Linked DNA regions of Canis lupus familiaris. The protein of the gene in region 1 purifies or fractionates together with the protein of each later gene. This does not show direct contact. Links are inferred from orthologs where the notes say so. Each region holds a gene or a part of one and is shown on either strand. Other genes may lie near its edges.

Evidence for each region. The genes of interacting proteins can lie anywhere in the genome.
Region 2: the proteins of PTGES3 (region 1) and FKBP4 purify together in Homo sapiens (affinity purification with mass spectrometry; 3 studies listed by BioGRID and IntAct, with this or other methods). This does not show direct contact. The link is inferred for Canis lupus familiaris from reciprocal best matches to the Homo sapiens genes PTGES3 and FKBP4.
Region 3: the proteins of PTGES3 (region 1) and PPP5C purify together in Homo sapiens (affinity purification with mass spectrometry; 5 studies listed by BioGRID and IntAct, with this or other methods). This does not show direct contact. The link is inferred for Canis lupus familiaris from reciprocal best matches to the Homo sapiens genes PTGES3 and PPP5C.
Region 4: the proteins of PTGES3 (region 1) and SMYD2 purify together in Homo sapiens (affinity purification with mass spectrometry; 3 studies listed by BioGRID and IntAct, with this or other methods). This does not show direct contact. The link is inferred for Canis lupus familiaris from reciprocal best matches to the Homo sapiens genes PTGES3 and SMYD2.

Annotation. Positions count from the first base shown.
Region 1 is NC_049231.1:1,253,943-1,258,113, reverse strand, and holds the start of PTGES3 (prostaglandin E synthase 3), read left to right. Parts: upstream 1-1,371; 5' UTR 1,372-1,386; coding exon 1,387-1,445; intron 1,446-4,171. UniProt on the Homo sapiens protein: Cytosolic prostaglandin synthase that catalyzes the oxidoreduction of prostaglandin endoperoxide H2 (PGH2) to prostaglandin E2 (PGE2).
Region 2 is NC_049248.1:4,083,433-4,087,654, forward strand, and holds the start of FKBP4 (peptidyl-prolyl cis-trans isomerase FKBP4), read left to right. Parts: upstream 1-1,422; 5' UTR 1,423-1,468; coding exon 1,469-1,573; intron 1,574-1,917; exon of another isoform or gene 1,918-2,043; intron 2,044-3,797; coding exon 3,798-3,942; intron 3,943-4,222. UniProt on the Homo sapiens protein: Immunophilin protein with PPIase and co-chaperone activities. Component of steroid receptors heterocomplexes through interaction with heat-shock protein 90 (HSP90).
Region 3 is NC_049222.1:110,176,356-110,180,626, reverse strand, and holds the start of PPP5C (serine/threonine-protein phosphatase 5), read left to right. Parts: upstream 1-1,471; 5' UTR 1,472-1,557; coding exon 1,558-1,678; intron 1,679-4,271. UniProt on the Homo sapiens protein: Serine/threonine-protein phosphatase that dephosphorylates a myriad of proteins involved in different signaling pathways including the kinases CSNK1E, ASK1/MAP3K5, PRKDC and RAF1, the nuclear receptors NR3C1, PPARG, ESR1 and ESR2, SMAD proteins and TAU/MAPT.
Region 4 is NC_049228.1:12,142,584-12,146,591, reverse strand, and holds the start of SMYD2 (N-lysine methyltransferase SMYD2), read right to left. Parts: upstream 2,801-4,008; 5' UTR 2,685-2,800; coding exon 2,512-2,684; intron 1-2,511. UniProt on the Homo sapiens protein: Protein-lysine N-methyltransferase that methylates both histones and non-histone proteins, including p53/TP53 and RB1. Specifically trimethylates histone H3 'Lys-4' (H3K4me3) in vivo. The activity requires interaction with HSP90alpha.

The DNA of each region.
Region 1 (4,171 bases):
ATAAATTCTTAAGATATTTTTTCTGAGTTCCTAAATGGGAAATTGTTGATCCTAGTGTATTCTGTTACAGAAGTACAATATGTATTGTAGTAAACTTTATTATGTACTGTGTAGATTGACAGTGATTTTAAATTGAGGCTGACTTCTCTGTTTCCCTAGGACACCTTTGAACTTCTGGTTTTTCAGGAAGATGCCAATTACTTTACACATTACCTTGAGCAGTAGTATGTTCTTCCCCCTATTGTATTCCAAAGCCATAATGTGCTTTAGTGCATTTTCTGTACAGTAGTTGATCTTCACATGTTGTCATACTTTATTATTAAAAAAGTATTTGTCAGGGTCCTTTCCAGCTCAGCATTTTAATTATCTTTGTGTACGGAAGGCTCTAAGTCACAGACAGGTGTTCTTAAAAATTTTAGTATATATTTAAGTTCCATAAATACTAGTTCACACAGTGCTAATTAGTATAAGGAGTTGTCCTAGATAGAATTGGAACTCAGGATTTCTGACAGAAAGGTTATTTTTTCCACTTTACAGAAAGGAAGAATAATTTCCCAGTGATCCTTTTATTTCCAAAGAAATAACTATGTCTCTCTAGTTCTGTCTTATTATGTAAACTGTTTCTGTTAAAACCTGTGCCACTTCTTGACATACGATAATGGAGTCCAGAGGCTCTGAAATTTTTCTCTACTGGAGGCACTGAGAACGTTGACCTTGAGTCTTATTTGTTCTTTTTTTTTTTTTTGAGTCTTATTTGTCTGAAGAAAAATTACTATATCTGCTTTGGAGATATTTAAAAGAATGCACAAAAGTGGGAGTGTAGGAAGGTTGGAGTTGCTTGGAAGAAAGGCGCTAAGTCTTGGGAGAAATACCATCTTTAAGAACAGCTTTCACTTTTACGTTTAGAGTAGGAATTACCAAATAAAGGAACTAATAACACAGGTTCACAAATGTTCTTGGTTTGCCCTTTTATGTCTTAGTAGGTTTTTTGTTGTTTCCTTTTTTTTTTTTTTTTTTTTTTTTTAATGGTGTTGCTGGCCAAAAGAAGTAACCTAGCAGTTCTGTTAGTTAGGTAGTTAGGTCAAAACAACTTAAGTAATTTATCCGAACAACCTAGTAGTCTTTGAAAAGCAAATACACAAAAATTGAAAGAAAAAGGTTTTTTGTTTTGTTTTGTTTTTAATAACCACAGTTACAGAATATGAATGCCCTTTGGGCACTGTATAACTTCTTATAACTTGAATTCAGATTAGATATGTCTATCTCAACTTCTGTTCTCTACTGTTTTGTTTTTTTTTATGGGTCCCTTTCTCCCCCCCCACCCCCCCTTTTTTTCCTCTAAATCACAGCAACACCAAAATTCTAACTTTGGAGAAATGAAGATTAATGGAGAGGGATGTGGTGCAGTCTGCTTTAAAACTGAACCACCTGGTGTCTGAACTGAGGTTGAGTATCACTAAATTTTTCTCAAATTTAAAATATCTTGCAGCAACCCAGTAAGTTTCTTGTGGTGCCCTGATGCACCTTGGCAAGTAATTTGGAAGCAACTGGGTCAGCATGTGTATTCAGATCACCTATCTAGAAAGTTTTACATGGTAGTACAACTGACATACAGATACTCTGAAAGTATGAGAAGCATATCTTGGGTTTTGTTTGAAGAAAGAATATGTGCATAAGAGAGTGTTGGATTGGGGATCCCTGGGTGGCTCAGCAGTTTAGTGCCTGCCTTCTGCCCAGGACGAGATCCTGGAGTCTCGGGTTCGAGTCCCCACGGCCTCCTTGCATGGAGCCTGTTTCTGCCTCTGCTTGTGTCTCTGCCTCTCTCTCCCTCTCTCTGTGTATCTCATGAATAAATAAAATCTTTAAAAAAAAGAGTGTTGGATTTTTAGACATTTGTGGACAGGGCTTTTCACTGCTCAATTTATGTGCAGTCAAAAGCCCAGTCCAAAAAGGAACTACTTTTTTCCTTTCTAATAGCAGAATTTCATGTTTCCATATCATTCCTCACTTAGTACAAACTAAAAAAGATTTACCTGTGTCTTGATTCCTTTTTGTAAATAATAGACTATTTGACAAACTTAGTTTTAAAAAAATCAGTAATTCTGAATTTTATAACCTCTTTATTGCTGATTTTTTTCCTTGGTTTTAATGATTTTTCTTTTATAATCTTTTATGATGTTTATTTTTTTAAATGTTTTTTTTTTAAAGATTTTATTTATTTATTCATAGAGATGCAGAGAGAGAGAGAGAGAGAGAGAGAGAGGCAGAGACACAGGCAGAGGGAGAAGCAGGCTCCATGCAGAGAGCCCGACGTGGGACTCGATCCAGGGTCTCCAGGATCATGCCCTGGGCTGCAGGCAGCACCAAACCGCTGCGCCACCAGGGCTGCCCTCTTTTATGACGTTTAAAGATACTCTGAGATGTATAAGAGATCATCGAATCTAGTGTTTAAGAAGCTTCCTATTAAATAGAAATGTTTACTTCTAAACCTAGAAAATACTAGGTTAAGATTTAGTAAAAAGCTAGTCTTCTGATTTCTATTGTTTTATCTTAGAATTCAAAGTGATCCTGTAATTCAGAAAAATAATGGTGCTCCATTAAGAGTTAACTTGAAAGGAAACTCATTGGGGCACCTGGGTGGCTCAGTGGTTGAGTGTCCACCTTCACCTCCGGTTGTGATCTTGGGATGGAGTCCCACATTGGGCTCCCTGTGGGGAGCCTGCTTCTCCCTCTGCCTATGTCTCTGCCTCTCTTTGTGTGTCTCATGAATACATGAATTAAAAAAAAAAAAAAAAAAACTAAGTACAGTTGATTCTTGAGTAACACGGGTTTGAACTGTGTGGGTCCATTTAGGCAAATCTTTTCCAATAAATACAATAAGGTTAGTGTATTTTTTTTTTTTTAAGATTTTTTTTTTTAAGATTTTATTTATTTATTCATGAAAGACACAGGGAGAGAGAGAGGCAGAGACACAGGCAGAGGGAGAAGCAGGCTCCATGCAGGGAGCCTGACTTGGGACTTGATCCCAGGTCCCCAGGATCACAACCTGGGCTAAAAGCCGCACTAAACTGCTGAGCCACCCGGGCTGCCCTCTTTTTTAAGATTTTAACCAACTGAGCCATCCAGGCATGCGCGCGCGCGCACACACACACACCCTTTTTTTTTGTTTTTTAAATTTTTATTTATTTATGATAGAGAGAGAGAGAGAGGCAGAGACACAGGCAGAGGGAGAAGCAGGCTCCATGCACCGGGAGCCCGATGTGGGATTCGATCTCGGGTCTCCAGGATCTCGCCCTGGGCCAAAGGCAGGCACCAAATTGCTGCGCCACCCAGGGATCCCTTTTTTTTTTTTTTTTTTTTTTTAAGTAAGTTCTACAGCCATTGTGGAGCCCAGGGTGGGGCTTTGACTCACAACTCTGAGATGAAGACCTGACCTAAGATCAAGACAAGAGTCTGACTCCCTTAACTGCCTGAGCCACCCAGGTGCCCCTGTGAAATTTTTTTTTTTTTAAGGACTTTCTCAACATTGTTTTTTTTTTCTCTAGTTTCTTTCTTCCTTTCTTTCCTTTCTTTCCTTTCTTTTCAAGATTTTATTTATTCATAGAGGCACAGAGAGAGAGAGAGAGGCAGAGACACAGGCAGAGGGAGAACCAGGCTCCATGCAGGGAACCCGACCCGACATGGGACTCGATCCCAGGACTCCAGGATCACGCCCTGGGGCTGCAGGCGATGCTAAACAGCTGCTTTAGCTGCGTCTCTTGGGCTGCCCTTTTTCCTCTAGTTTCATTGGAAGAATATACAGTGTATAACATATGATATACAAAGTATGTGTTTATTGTTTACATTTGGATAAAGAGTCTGGTCAACAGTAGGTTATTAGTAAAGTTTTAGGGGAGTCCTAAATTATGCTTGGATTTTCATCTTTGTTAAGGGGTTGGTGCCCTTAACTCTCATATTCAAAGCTCAGCTGTACGAATAACCAGAGAAAGTTTTTGTTTTGTTTTGTTTGAGTGTTGTGATGTGTTACCTATGTACACATTAAGATAAACTGTAGTTAGTAATGGACCTGATCCCTTTACCCCCCTTCCCCAATATTTCTTAATATTTTTGGACTACATTTAACTTGAATGTAAGTTTTGTTTTGTTGACTGCTCTATCTCCAGAACGATTC
Region 2 (4,222 bases), on another chromosome or scaffold:
ACTCCATCAGACAGGGCTATAACGAATGATCCAATTACCTTATGGAGCTGCAATTTCATCCATAATAGGGTAAATTATGTACCTAAGCGCGACAGTTTGCATACAACAGCACAGTGCCAGGCATATAGTGAGGGCTCCAAAAAAAGATTATTATTGGAATACAAACTTATGCAGCCAAAAACTATTTGACTCCACTCACCAGGCACTATGTTAAACTGGGGCTAAGTGCTGAGCAAAATCGACACTCTCTAGATGATTCTTTTTTGTCAAAGGCAAAATCTATCTATTCAGGTAGCTAGGGGCTGCAGAGCTCTGACTTGCCGCACAGCTGCTCTGCACTCACAGGCAGTCGGTAGATACTCGAAAACCAAGTATCAGGCAGAAAATTTTCATTGCCGTGGGTCTTTGGTAAAAAGGAGTGACTGTTTTCGTGACTTGAAACAATTTCCATTTTTAAATATTAATCTAAAGGGTCCTCCTATCATAGCTGGGGAAGGTCCCTTTAATATGCGTCCCATTTAGAGTCCTTAGCTCAGCGGGTCATTTCTTGCAAATCCTGCTCCGACCATTTTAAGCTAAAGGCGGCACGTGTTCCCGGGTCTGGGGAATTCAGGGGTGTTCTCCCAGATTCCGAGCACTGGGGTCGCCGAGCCCCCTTCCCTTCTCTCCCCCCAGCCCTCTAAGCGTCTGTACGCTGAGTGCAGAGATGCGAGGCCGCGCCGCGTGCGCCCGCCGCCGGCTTATAAAAATGCGCGTCTCGTGTGCGGGGAGATCACGTCCGGCTGCGCGGGTCGGGGCACAGCACGCCGCAGGCTGCAACGACGGGGCGGATCTGGGGCGGACCTGGGGCGGACCTGGGGCGGCGGGCACCCTCGGCCTGGGGCTGGTGCAGGGGATCGAGAAGGATCTGGAAGAATCTGGTTAGACCGGGAAACGGGCGGGGGAGGGCCAGGGAAGGGCGCTCGGGTGGGGGTGGGGTGCGGGTGAGCGGGGGAAGCCCCCGCAGTCCGAGGGCCCCAGCGTGGGGAGAGGGAGGCCAGGCGGCCGCAGGGAGGAAAGAACCGGGGGAAAGGGGAAAAAAAAAAAAAAAAAAAAAAAACCCACCCGAAGCCCAAGCCGCGCACATTCACACAGGCACCCCGAGCAGCAGGGCCCGAACTGGCTCGGCGGCCGCCGTCTCCAGAAAGTTCTCCGCCCCCGCCCCCTCCGCCCCTCGCTCCCGCCCCTGCGCCTCCCAGCCCCTCCCTCCGCGGCGGGTGGCACCAATCGCTCCCCGCGGCCGCTCATTACCCACCGACTCCCGCTCCCGCGCCGAACCCGCCGCGGGCCGCGAGCGCGCCGGAGCCAGCGGTGTTGGAGCCCGAGGCCGGTGCGCAGCCGGGCGGCCGCCGCCAGCGCCCTCCCGCCCGCCTCCCCCAGCAGACGGCCCGGCTCCCGGCTCCCGGCGTAAACGGCGCACCGAGCGGCGATGACCGCCGAGGAGATGAAGGCGGCCGAGAGCGGGGCGCAGTCGGCGCCGCTTCCCCTCGAGGGGGTGGATGTCAGCCCCAAGCAGGACGAAGGCGTGCTGAAGGTACGCGGCGGCGGCGCGGGCGGCCGGCCTCCCGCCGAGCCGGGGACCCCCGGGCGCCCCTGCAGCGTCCGCGCGCGCCGTGAGCCGGGCGTGCGCCCGCGGCCCCGTGCATCGCCCTCCCGGCCCGGGCTGCGTTGTCGGGCGGCGGGGTGCGCGGGGGCCTCGGCCGTTCCGCGGCGTCCGGGCCCGACCGCAGCGCCAACTCCGGCGTGCGCGGTGCAGCGCGGAGGGAGGGGCGGGGCCGCCGGTGGCACGCGAGGTGCCGCCAGGGGGCCCGGGCCGGCCCCGACGCCGCCCGCCGCCCCCCGCACCCGGCCCCGGCCCCGCCGCCCCGCCGCCCCGCCGCCAGCTGCAGCCGGGAAGCCCCTGGACGCGTCCGCGGGCGCTGCTGCGAGATCTCGGCTGCCTCGGGCAGTTAAACATGAGCTCGGACCCGGAGCGGCCACCGGACTGATTCTCCTGGCCCAGAGGTTCTGCTGCGACCTGGCCCGGCCCGGGGCCTGGCGCCAGCAGAGCCGGTGGCGCCCTCCGTCCCCCCGGCGGCCCCCTTCCCAGAGGCTGGGACCCAGCGAGGTCACCGGCCCAGCCATGCTGGCCCCCTCCCCCCGCCCCCGCCCCGGGAGGGCCAGCGAGCGGCATGCCGGGACCTGTAGTTCCCCTCCCCCTCGTGAGCCGGGGCCGGGCTGCGGGCCGGGAGGAGGTGCTCTGCTGGGAGCCGCGGAGCCGCGGAGGGAGGGGGCCGGGCCTCGGGGGGCAGGGCATCTTGACCTGGGTCAGGGCGACTTGATGGTGCTTCAGAGCAGGTTCTGTGCAGTACAGGATGGCGAAATCCCAGGCTGGATTTCATGCCTCCTCCTCATGCAGTGTTTCTTTTCATCCTGGCTTCCCACTGCTTAGTTGCGTGAGAGAGAGCGAGAGAGACCTGGGCAAAGCTGGAGACCTCAGGGAACCCATAAACTGGTCCAGAAACGGTCCTGGTTTTGCCCAGATCTCGGAATCTTAAGCTGTTCTCCCAGTGAGCATGTGGCTTTCTCTTCTCTCTCCAGCGTCCTGATGGTTTCTACAAGTTTATTATTCCCAGAAGGGTCCTTTGCCCTTTTCTCTTCCACTCCCTCCCTTTTGTACTCTTCAAGGCTTCTGCCCATTCTGTTATGCAGGCTTTCCCTTAATAGGTAACCACATACGTTCCAGGTGATCCATGGAGTCTCCTTGTCCCCTTATATAAATGCTAAAGAAGAGCAGCAAATCTTCCTGAGAAAGGCTCTAGTTCTCAAAACACTTCACTTGCTTCCCAATCAAGTGAATGCTCCTGTCCTGAGTCTCAGTGCCCCTGTGCCCATCGGTGACCTGGTATTTTCACAGCCTCTTTTGGACTTCTGCGATCCTGTCCATTATTCTATTTCTGTCCACAAACCAGACCCTGATATGATGACCACCAGCATTTAGGAAGAATGAGGAAACCTAGCATAAATGGTTCTCTCTTTTCTACTGATAATAATTTTCAGCTTTTTACCAGTTTAATTCTCCAATCCTGATAGGGACTATTATCACCAGTCTACAAATAAAGTCTAGAAAGCTTGACTTATACAAGATCATAGAGCAAAAACTTGAACTCCGGGTTTCTGTTTTGAGTTTTCTTCTCTCTCTCTTTTTTTTTTTTTTTTTTTACAGATTTTGTTTGTTCATGAAAAATAGAGAGGTGGCAGAGACATAGGCAGAGGGAGAAACAGGCTCCCTGCAGGGAGCTTGATTCTGGACTTGATCCTGGGATCCTAGGATCATGACCTGAGCCTAAGGCAGATGCTCAACCACTGAGCCGCCCAGGCATCCCTGTCTTGAGGTTTTTGGTTTTCTTTTCTAAAAAAAAATTTTTTTTTTAAAAAAATTCATTCATGAGAGACACACAAGAGAGGGGCAGAGACACAGGCAGAGGGAGAAGCAGGCTCCATGCAGGGAGCCTGACGTGGCAGTTGATCCCGGGACTCCAGGATCCCAAGTCCTATTGCACCTCAAGAAAGATGGAGGCAGGGTGTCAGCTGGCTTCTAGCCAGACTTAATGTCACAATCACGGGAGGTTTAGTCCTTTTGCTTACAGTGTGACAGAAGGGTCCCTCTATGTTTGCATCAGAGTCTGTGTGGGCAGTTTAAGTGCCTCATTCAGCCCCCATGCCCCGGGAAAGCCAGCAAGCTTTCCCAGTACTCACCTTCTCTGCCTTCCTCCCAGGTCATCAAGCGAGAGGGCACAGGCACGGAGATGCCCATGATTGGGGACCGAGTCTTTGTCCACTACACTGGCTGGCTGTTAGATGGCACCAAGTTTGACTCCAGTCTGGACCGCAAGGACAAATTCTCCTTTGACCTGGGCAAAGGTAGGCACGGTTAGTGGGTTGGGAGCATCAGCTCTGCGGAGGGTGTAAGCTTTCACAAGCAGAAACCATACTTTCAGAAGCGTAAGGAGGAATGGTTTGTTCAGTCCATGAATTTTTCTCGTTAAACTCGTTTTTTCTTCTCCTCTGCTGGAACCGTGTTGATCTCTCTCTCTCACTCTCTATCTCTCTCTCACCTTCCCTAATCACCTTTGGACGCCTCAGTTCCTCTTCAGGGGTAGATTCCCTGGTTTCTTTCTTTTTTTTTTTTTTTTTTAAATTT
Region 3 (4,271 bases), on another chromosome or scaffold:
AGCCACGTGCTCTACTAAAGAAATAAAACTTTCAGGCCTCGTTGCTCCCTTGCCTAAAATGCTTTTTTCTTCCTTCCTCCTTCACACTTGGTTATCTCCTACTCATTTTCAGCTCTTGGTTCAAACATTCCCTCCTCCAGGAACTCTTCCCTGCTTGTCCAACAGGGTGAGCCCCTCCTCTCCCCTCTCAGGTCTAGGTACTCGATACCACTCTGAGTATTTTATTGGACTGTGTATAAAAAGTGCTTACTCTGTGTTAGGCCCTCTGCCAAATACTTTATTCCTATGATCTTATCAAATTTCCGCTAATCATATATAATAAGCACAGTTATTGTCCCCATTTTACAGAAGAGGAAACAGGTTCAGAGGATGATCACTTGCCAGGGTCACACAGCAGGGAAGGACTGAGCTGGATTCGAATCCGGGATTCAAATCCATCACAGCAGCCTTCCCATACACACTTCTAAAAATCTCAAAAATCTAGAGTCTAGGGACAGTGGAGTAGGGCTTAAGAGCACAGAATCAGATGGGACAAGGTGAAGTCCTGGCTCTGCCACTCTCCTTGTATGACCTTGGGGAAGTTGGTTGACTTCTACAAACCTCGGTGTCCTCAGTGGTAAAATGGAGCTGATACTATAATCTACTTTCTAGGCTGATTGTTGGCTATGATACGAGGTGGTGGGATCAGGCTGTCAGGACAAGGCGACTGAGAAGTGGGACAGCTGTGGTTGTAGGATGGGAGCTCCAGCAGGGCCTTAAATGATTTAGTGCCATAGTTCCACAGGAGGAGCAGTTGAAGGCTTGGAGAGGATGGTCTGCTAGGATGTAATGGTTGGGGTGTGTGTGTGTGCATCTGGAGATGTCGCCTGGGGCTATCCTATTCAGTGTTTCCTAGGTAATGCAGTAGAAAGAGTTTAGGTTTTTCTAAGGCCACTGTTGCAGGCTGGGGACTAGGAGATGAGGATGAAGAAAGGAGATGGTGCAACAAACTTCTGGGCCTTGCTCAGGACTAGGGCATCCAGAGCGCCTTCAGTTAACAGATGGAGATACAGTTAACCTTCAGGGTTGGAACTTTAGTCTCTTGGTTTGAGAATCCACGCATTTTTCAGAGGGGGGTAATTGCCCCTAATTGCTCAAGGTCACCCAAATAACCGGCCGTAGGGCTAGTCTCCCGGCTCTGGTTCTGCGTGGGGCTGCCTTGCAGCCACACCCACCCACCCAAGAAGACCCCTCCAGAACTTCGGCGGCCTTCGAACACGGCGACTTCGCGAGCGCGGGCCCGGCCAGACCTTCCCCGCTCGCCCCCGCCCCGCGCGCCCCCTTTCGCCCTCCCCATTGGCTCCTTCTACGAAGGGCGCTGTCTAGGGTCCCTCTGGTCACCTTGTCCTCCGCGCGCTCTATGGCGAAAGGGCCCTGCGCAGGCGCGCGAAGGGAGCCTTCGGGGCCCGCGCTTTACGACACTTGTGCAGCAGCGGCCGCAGCAACTCGGCACTCCTTCGCGACGATTCGGCCGGGTGCCGCTGGCGGCCGTTGCCAGGGTGGGGGTCGCTTTGCGGCATGGCGATGGCGGAGGGCGAGCGGACTGAGTGTGCTGAGCCCCCCCGGGACGAGCCCCCGGCTGATGGCGCTCTGAAGCGGGCAGAGGAGCTCAAGACGCAGGCCAACGACTACTTCAAAGGTGCGCCTGCCCCGGAGGGGGCCAGGGAGGGTGGAGAGCGGCCCGGGGCAAGGGGTGCCCGGCCCGCGCGGAACCATGGCAACGCGGAGCGGCAGCCTGGGCGCGGGGCAGGCACTACCAAGTGACCGGGCTTGGGGAGGCCCAGGATGCCGCTACCAGGGGCCGACAGGGGGGGCTTCTGACAGGAGGGGTGATACCTAGAAGCGGCATTCGGAGCGGGTGCTACTAAATGGGGAGACTGGGGAGGGCGCTACCAAGTGTGCGGCGGGAGGGGGACGGGAGCGAGGGCATTTCCGAACGTGAGGTCCTTGAGAGGTGCTAGTTGTGGTGAGGCCTGAAGAGGGCGCTGCCAAGTAGTGACACAGGGCTGGGGAGTGATGGTGCTACCCAGTGGGGAGATGGGGCGGGGGGGCGGGGGCACTGTCCCAGTAGAGTAGGGGTGGGGAATAGATCATTAGATGGGAGGGCAAGGAGATTGGGGGTTGCACGAGAAAAAGGGATGCGTGGGAGGCCCTGGGAGTAAAGGTGGGGAAATCCCAAGAATAGTATGACATCCGATCTTGAAAAAGAGTAAGATGTGGGGGCACTCATTCATTCAGTAATTCATTATATTTCTAGAGCACCTGCTTTGCGCTAAGGACTGTGCCAGACTCTGGGGATTTAGCAGGGAATGAAGCAGATGTGGCCCTGCCCTTTTATAGCTTGTAATTCAGCAGGAGAATAAGACATTGAGCAAAAACACAAGAAATAATAAAATGCTTAGAAGTTATGAAGAATGCTTTGAACAGACCCCAACAGGGTGTGAAGGAGAGAATGAGGGCTGGAGGCTACTTTATAGAGAGCGTCGTCAGGGAAAGCCTTACTGAGAAGGCATTTGAGAAGAATCGCGAAGGAGTGTTTCAGGTGGATGCAGCCAGATGTGCAAAGGCCCTGAGGTAGGAAATGAAAGACTAGTGTGGTGGAAGCTTTAGCAAGTTAGCAGGGAGATGGATACAAGATAAGTTTAGGACCGGGGCCAGACCAGGTGGGGTTTCATAAGTCATTGCAAAGCTGGTTTGGATTTTACTGGGCTATTCAAGAGGAGACATTGAGTTGACAGATGGGCCAGTCTGGAGCTGCAAGGAGAGGAATTTGGGCCTGATCAGCCTATGCATGGAATAGAACACCTGCAAATGGATGAGGTCATCTAGGGAGAGAAGGGGCTGGAACCTTGAGGAATTCTAATGTTTAGAAAAGAAGAGGAAGAGGCTGAGGAGGAGTGGTCAGTGAAGTGAAAGGGAAGTTGGGAAAGGTGTCAGGAAAGATGAGAGAAGAGAGTGCTTCTAGAAGGAGGGGGGCTGTACCTTGGGTCGGGTGCTACCAGGGTGAGCACTGAGCATTGACCATTGGATTTGGCTTCACGAATGTTGGTGGTAGCCCTAAGAAGGGCAGTTTATAAGAACAGTTTTGGGCAACAATGAAGTTGGTAATTAGCTAGGAGAACACCCAAGGGTGAACAGGAAGTGAAGTAGAGACAGCAAATGTTGACAAAGTGGTTCAAGTATTTTGGTCCTAAAAGGGAGTGGAGAAATGGAGAGAGGGAGGTGCTTGCTTTCTTTCTCTCTCTTAAAGGATGGAAGAGTCCAAGAGTCTGGTCCAGTAGAGAGCTGGAATTGATCCTACAAGAGAGATGGGAGACTTATGGCAGCAAAGCTGGGGAAAAGAAATGGGGTTGGAATCTAGAGCCTTAGCAGCCTTCAGTTGGCCTTCAGTGGAAGCGCAAGGGGATTCAGAGCAGGAACATTTGGTCAGGCTGCAGCCACGAGGAGAGGACCAGTGAGAGATGAGGCGGAGCCTTGGAGGCCAGTTCAGGGAGTGTGGATGTCATCCTGAGGGTGGTGGGGAGGCATGGTAAGATTCCCCAGCTTCCGGGCTGAGATTGGATACAAGGGCAGAGCTGGAGGTAGGAAGGAGACAAGGATGGTGGACAGGTAGATAAGAGGTGTCTCTGGTCAGAAACCAACAAGAAATGTTTCAGAGAGGATATGAGGGCTGGTGAGAGGGAGGAGGGAATGCCAGGCAGAAAGAACAGGATGGCAGAGGCCTATCCTGGCAAAGGTGAGCAGAACCTAGCCTCAAGGAAGTAAGTGGAGCCGGAGTGTAGGAGGCAAGGGAGGATGCTGAGCTTTCTACTGTGGACTCTGGGGAGCCATGGATAGTTCTGAGAAAGGGAAGGACAGGGTTAGGTTTGTGCTTTAGCTGGACCCCTACAGAGGGGCAGGACTGGAGGCTGGGAGAGCAGGGAGGAGGCTGAGGCAGGAACCCGGGCAGGTGGACAGATTGAAGGCCAGACCAGGGCAGGGCGGGGCTGGAGGGATGGAAGTGGATGAATAGATCTGAGATGTTCAGGAGGCTGCCTTGACAGAACATGGCAACTGCCTGGCTTCGGGGGGTTGAGGGGTCGGGAGAGGTGTCGTCGGGAGAGGTGTCCAGGATGAGGCATGGTCTCCAGCTGGGGATTGGCTGTCCCTGAAATGGGGCTGAGGAAGAGCAGCAAGTATGAGGGTTGTTGCTGAGGCGAGGTAAGAATTCTGGGAAACCGTAAGTCATGGGG
Region 4 (4,008 bases), on another chromosome or scaffold:
AAAGGATAAGAAATAGTTTGGGTTTTTTTTTCCCCCTGTGGGAGAAGGGCAGGGGGGTAGGGAAGTAGCAGATTTTACCCTCTATGCTTTAATATTTGAGAATTCTCCTCCTACTCCCTTGAAGGTCCAGGAGACATATATGTGTTCTAATGCAGCTGGACAGACTGGTTTGTTCTTAGACATAATCAAATAGTTGACAGAGAAAATGGTGCTACATCTATGAGAACAACCTAACCGCGAATCCTAAACTAATCGAATTTAACAGAAATCATAGAGTGGTGTACAAGGATATTTCCAGTTTCATAGGTATCATGGTGTCATTATTTCTGGTGTGTTATTTTAGCTGATTTCAAATGACTCCTTGGGGAGAGAGAAGAAATGAACCGTGGGTCTTAAGAGAAGTTCACCCAAGCCAAACAGAAAAAAGTGGCGTGGATGGGGACAGATGCAGTGGTACCGCCCCAACGCACGTGGCAGCCCTGGTGTCGGGTCTAAGACAACAGTCAGCTACAATAACAAAAGTTATTGAGAAAAAGGAAAAACAAAGCACACCCTGTCCCATAGGGCAGGGTGATTTGTGGAGCGGAATCTGACCATACACTGAAGTTGTAAGGTTGGGGGCGTGTACAGTAGATACAGTCAGGACGCTCACTGCTAAAGAGAAGCATCTCTCAGCTCCGCTTCTCCCCTCTGAACCCAGAGGGATTTGATCTCTAATTCACTGCAGGAGCGCACTGGGAACTGCCATCTGAGTACCTACTATGTGCCTGGCGCTGTGATCTTCTCTCACAGGATGGACTCCAGGAATCACCAGGATTCCCGATGGAGGGGAGCACCTTCCGTGCTGGGTGACCCCGCTTTGCTCCTGCCACTCCAGACACCCACACTGCTTCAGACTCCGAGCCACAGCGAGGCTCAGAAGATCAAGGGACCAGTCACAGCAGCCTTTTTAACTTTGGGAAAACCCAATGCTCACTTCACTCAAACGTTGCAAAGTGGTGCCATGACCCTTTAGCTCTTGACTCACCAATTCAAAGAGCCACATCACATACAGCCCTTAAGCTGCCCACGGCATGATTCTGCGTCTAGTGCCTTTCCAGGTCCCCCCAAGCGGAAGACAGTTCTGGCAGGGAGTCTGGGCAAGATTACTATAATATTTAGCCTTTGTCCCTTCTTTCGCTATGTCTTATCATAGAATAAGGCACACGTGTCTGGGAAACTGGGTCCTTTGGTGTATGGTGGACTTGAGACCTGTCCTCAAAGGGTCCCTGCGGGACCTCAGGTCAGTGTAATCTGACCCAAGAAGCTCCATTTCCAAGATGAAGAAACTGAGATTCAAAGAAAGTAAAGCACGGTCCACTCTTCAGAGAGCAGCGGTAGGTTGGGTACAAACCTAATTCAACGCCATGCTTCGTGTCTCTGGAAGTTTCCTGGGCACCCAAACCAGCAGGACATGGGCAGAACTGGAGAGAACAGACTCCATTCCCTTAACCATTGGTGTGAGGATACAGATACACAACCACACTTCCTATCTGGGCCCGTAAAATGGAGAGAAGTGTGTCGGGACTCGGGAATGTGCCTTTGGGGTCTGAAACCATCATACAGCTTGAGGATATAATTATGTGTGGGTGCCTATGAACAGAGACCTATGTGAGTATACGTATGTATATTTTTATACACGACACGCTACTATTAAATACCATTTCCGACCACACATTTTGCCTAATTGCCCCGGAGGCCACGTTTTCAAAAGAAGAATCCCAAAGCGAGGTCAGGTGCGTCCGCCCTCACCGCAGCCCTTCAGAACCCCGGGGTGCGCGGTCCGTACCCCTCCGGCTTCTCTCCAAACAGCAGCGCAGAGTGAGAAGGAAGAGGAGGAGCCGAGTACTTTACACGAAATGTTAACTGTCAAGAAGTTCCCAGGAGGTGGCCGGGCCGGGCCGGGCTGGGGCTGGGGGGTGGGCTGAGCTGGGGGTGGGCTGGGGTGAGCTGGGGTGAGCTGGGGTGGGCTGGGGTGAGCTGGGGTGGGCCGGGCTGCGGTGGGGGTGGTGGGGGGTGCAGGACGGAACACGCCGCAGGAGGCCCAGGTGGAGGGCTGCAGGCTGCGGCTGCTCCAACCTGGGCCTGGGCCGGGCCGCCGATGCTCCAAGCGGGCAGCGCGCGCTCGCGCCCGGGACGCGCCTGGCTCGGCGCCCACGTCTGAGGCCAGGACCCTGCGCTCCCGCGTGAGCCCATCCGGCGCAAGCAAGTGGGAGAGCGCAGGCCGCGCGGCGGGCCCTCGGCGGCTCTGTCCCCACGCACGTGGCGCGGCTCGCGCGGGGGCACAGCGCGCCTCCCGCCCGCCCGGGGGCGGCCTCCGCCCGAGCGGCCGGCGCTAGGACCCCGCGCGCCGCGCACTTCCCCCGCCGCGGCGCCCGCCCGCCCCGCCCCCGCCCGCGCGCCCCGCCCCGCCCCCGCCCCCGCCCCCGCCCCCGCCCGCCGCCCCCGCCGCCCCCGCCGCCCCCGCCCTACCTGGCGAAGCAGTACTCGCAGTGGTTGCCCCGCTCGTTGACCGTGAGCACGTAGGCGTAGGCCGGGCAGGAGAAGAGCAGGTCCCCCACGTGGAAGGGCTGCAGGGCCCGCAGCCCCCGGCCCTTGCCCGGGCTGCAGAAGCGCTCCAGGCCGCCGTCGCCCGCCGCCCTCATGCCGGCAGCGGGGCGGGACCGGCGGGACCGGCGGGACCGGCGGGACCGGCGCCCCGAGCCGAGGCGCCCCGCGAGCTGTTATTGGAGAAGCGTCACCCAGAGCCGCGGGGAGGGAGGCCGCCGCTCCCCGGAAGGGACGCCGGCCCCGCCCGGCCCTCGCGCGCCCCCGGGGGCGGGGGGGAGGGGAGGGAGGAGGAGGAGGGGAGGGGAGGGGAGGGGAGGGGAGGGGAACCCGCCCGCGGCCCCGCCCCCCGCCCCTCGGCCGCCCGCCCCGGGCGCTTGGGGCGTCCCCGCGGGAGGGCGGACGCGGCCCCTGGTCCGTGCGTGGGCGGCGGGGGATGCACGGCCTGGGGGGGGCGGGGCAGACGGGCCGCCTGGGCCCCGCGCAGCGGACGGAGCTGTGTCTGCACCTTGTGTGCCCTGCCCTCGCCCGAGGCCCTACACGGGGTCCCCCCGAGAGGCCGAGGCCCTAGACGGGGTCACCCTGGGGCGCCCAAGACCCTACATGGGGTCCCCCCGGGCGCCCGGGAGAGGCCGAGACCCTAGACGGGGTCACCCTGGGGCGCCCGAGACCCTACACGGGGTCCCCCCGGGGCGCCCGGGAGAGGCCGAGACCCTAGACGGGGTCACCCTGGGGCGCCCGAGACCCTACACGGGGTACCCCCGGGGCGCCCGGGAGAGGCCGAGGCCCTAGGCGGGGTCACCCTGGAGCACCTGAGACCCTACATGGGGTCCCCCCGGGGCGCCCGGGAGAGGCCGAGGCCCTAGACGGGGTCACCCTGGGGCGCCCAGGAGAGGCCGCACAGTGTGGGATGCGCTGAGGGTTCAAGGGCGCCTTCCAAAGGTCAAAGGCTTGGAAGCCTCCTGAGGCTGCAGACCTTGCAGGAGTCTCCGGAGTATTCATTTTTTTTTTTTTTCTCCGGAGTATTCAGATGGGAACCTTTGCCCCTCTCGTGGAAATTAATTACATGGACAGAAGAGGAAAAGTCAGGTCAGCCTGGAGCACTGAGTCTCTGCTTTCAAGAAACTTCCTCTTCCCCGAGAAAACGGGAGATAATCTGGCCTTCAAAGAACTTAAACCCTTCCAGGGTCCCAAGTGCCATTGTGCAGCCAGAACCCTGGGCTGGAATTTGCAGTGGTCTTGATCCCTTGGACCCCTCCCTGTCATCTCAGGAAAGCTCATTTGGTTGCAAGTCACCCAGGATTTGGAAGGAACATGTGTAGCTCCTAGAATACTTAAGCCCTGAAGCCCATACACATGCATGCTGTTGGTGTCACTCCTCTGAGAAAGTAGGGTGTGATATCTGTGTTGCTACAAAGGATG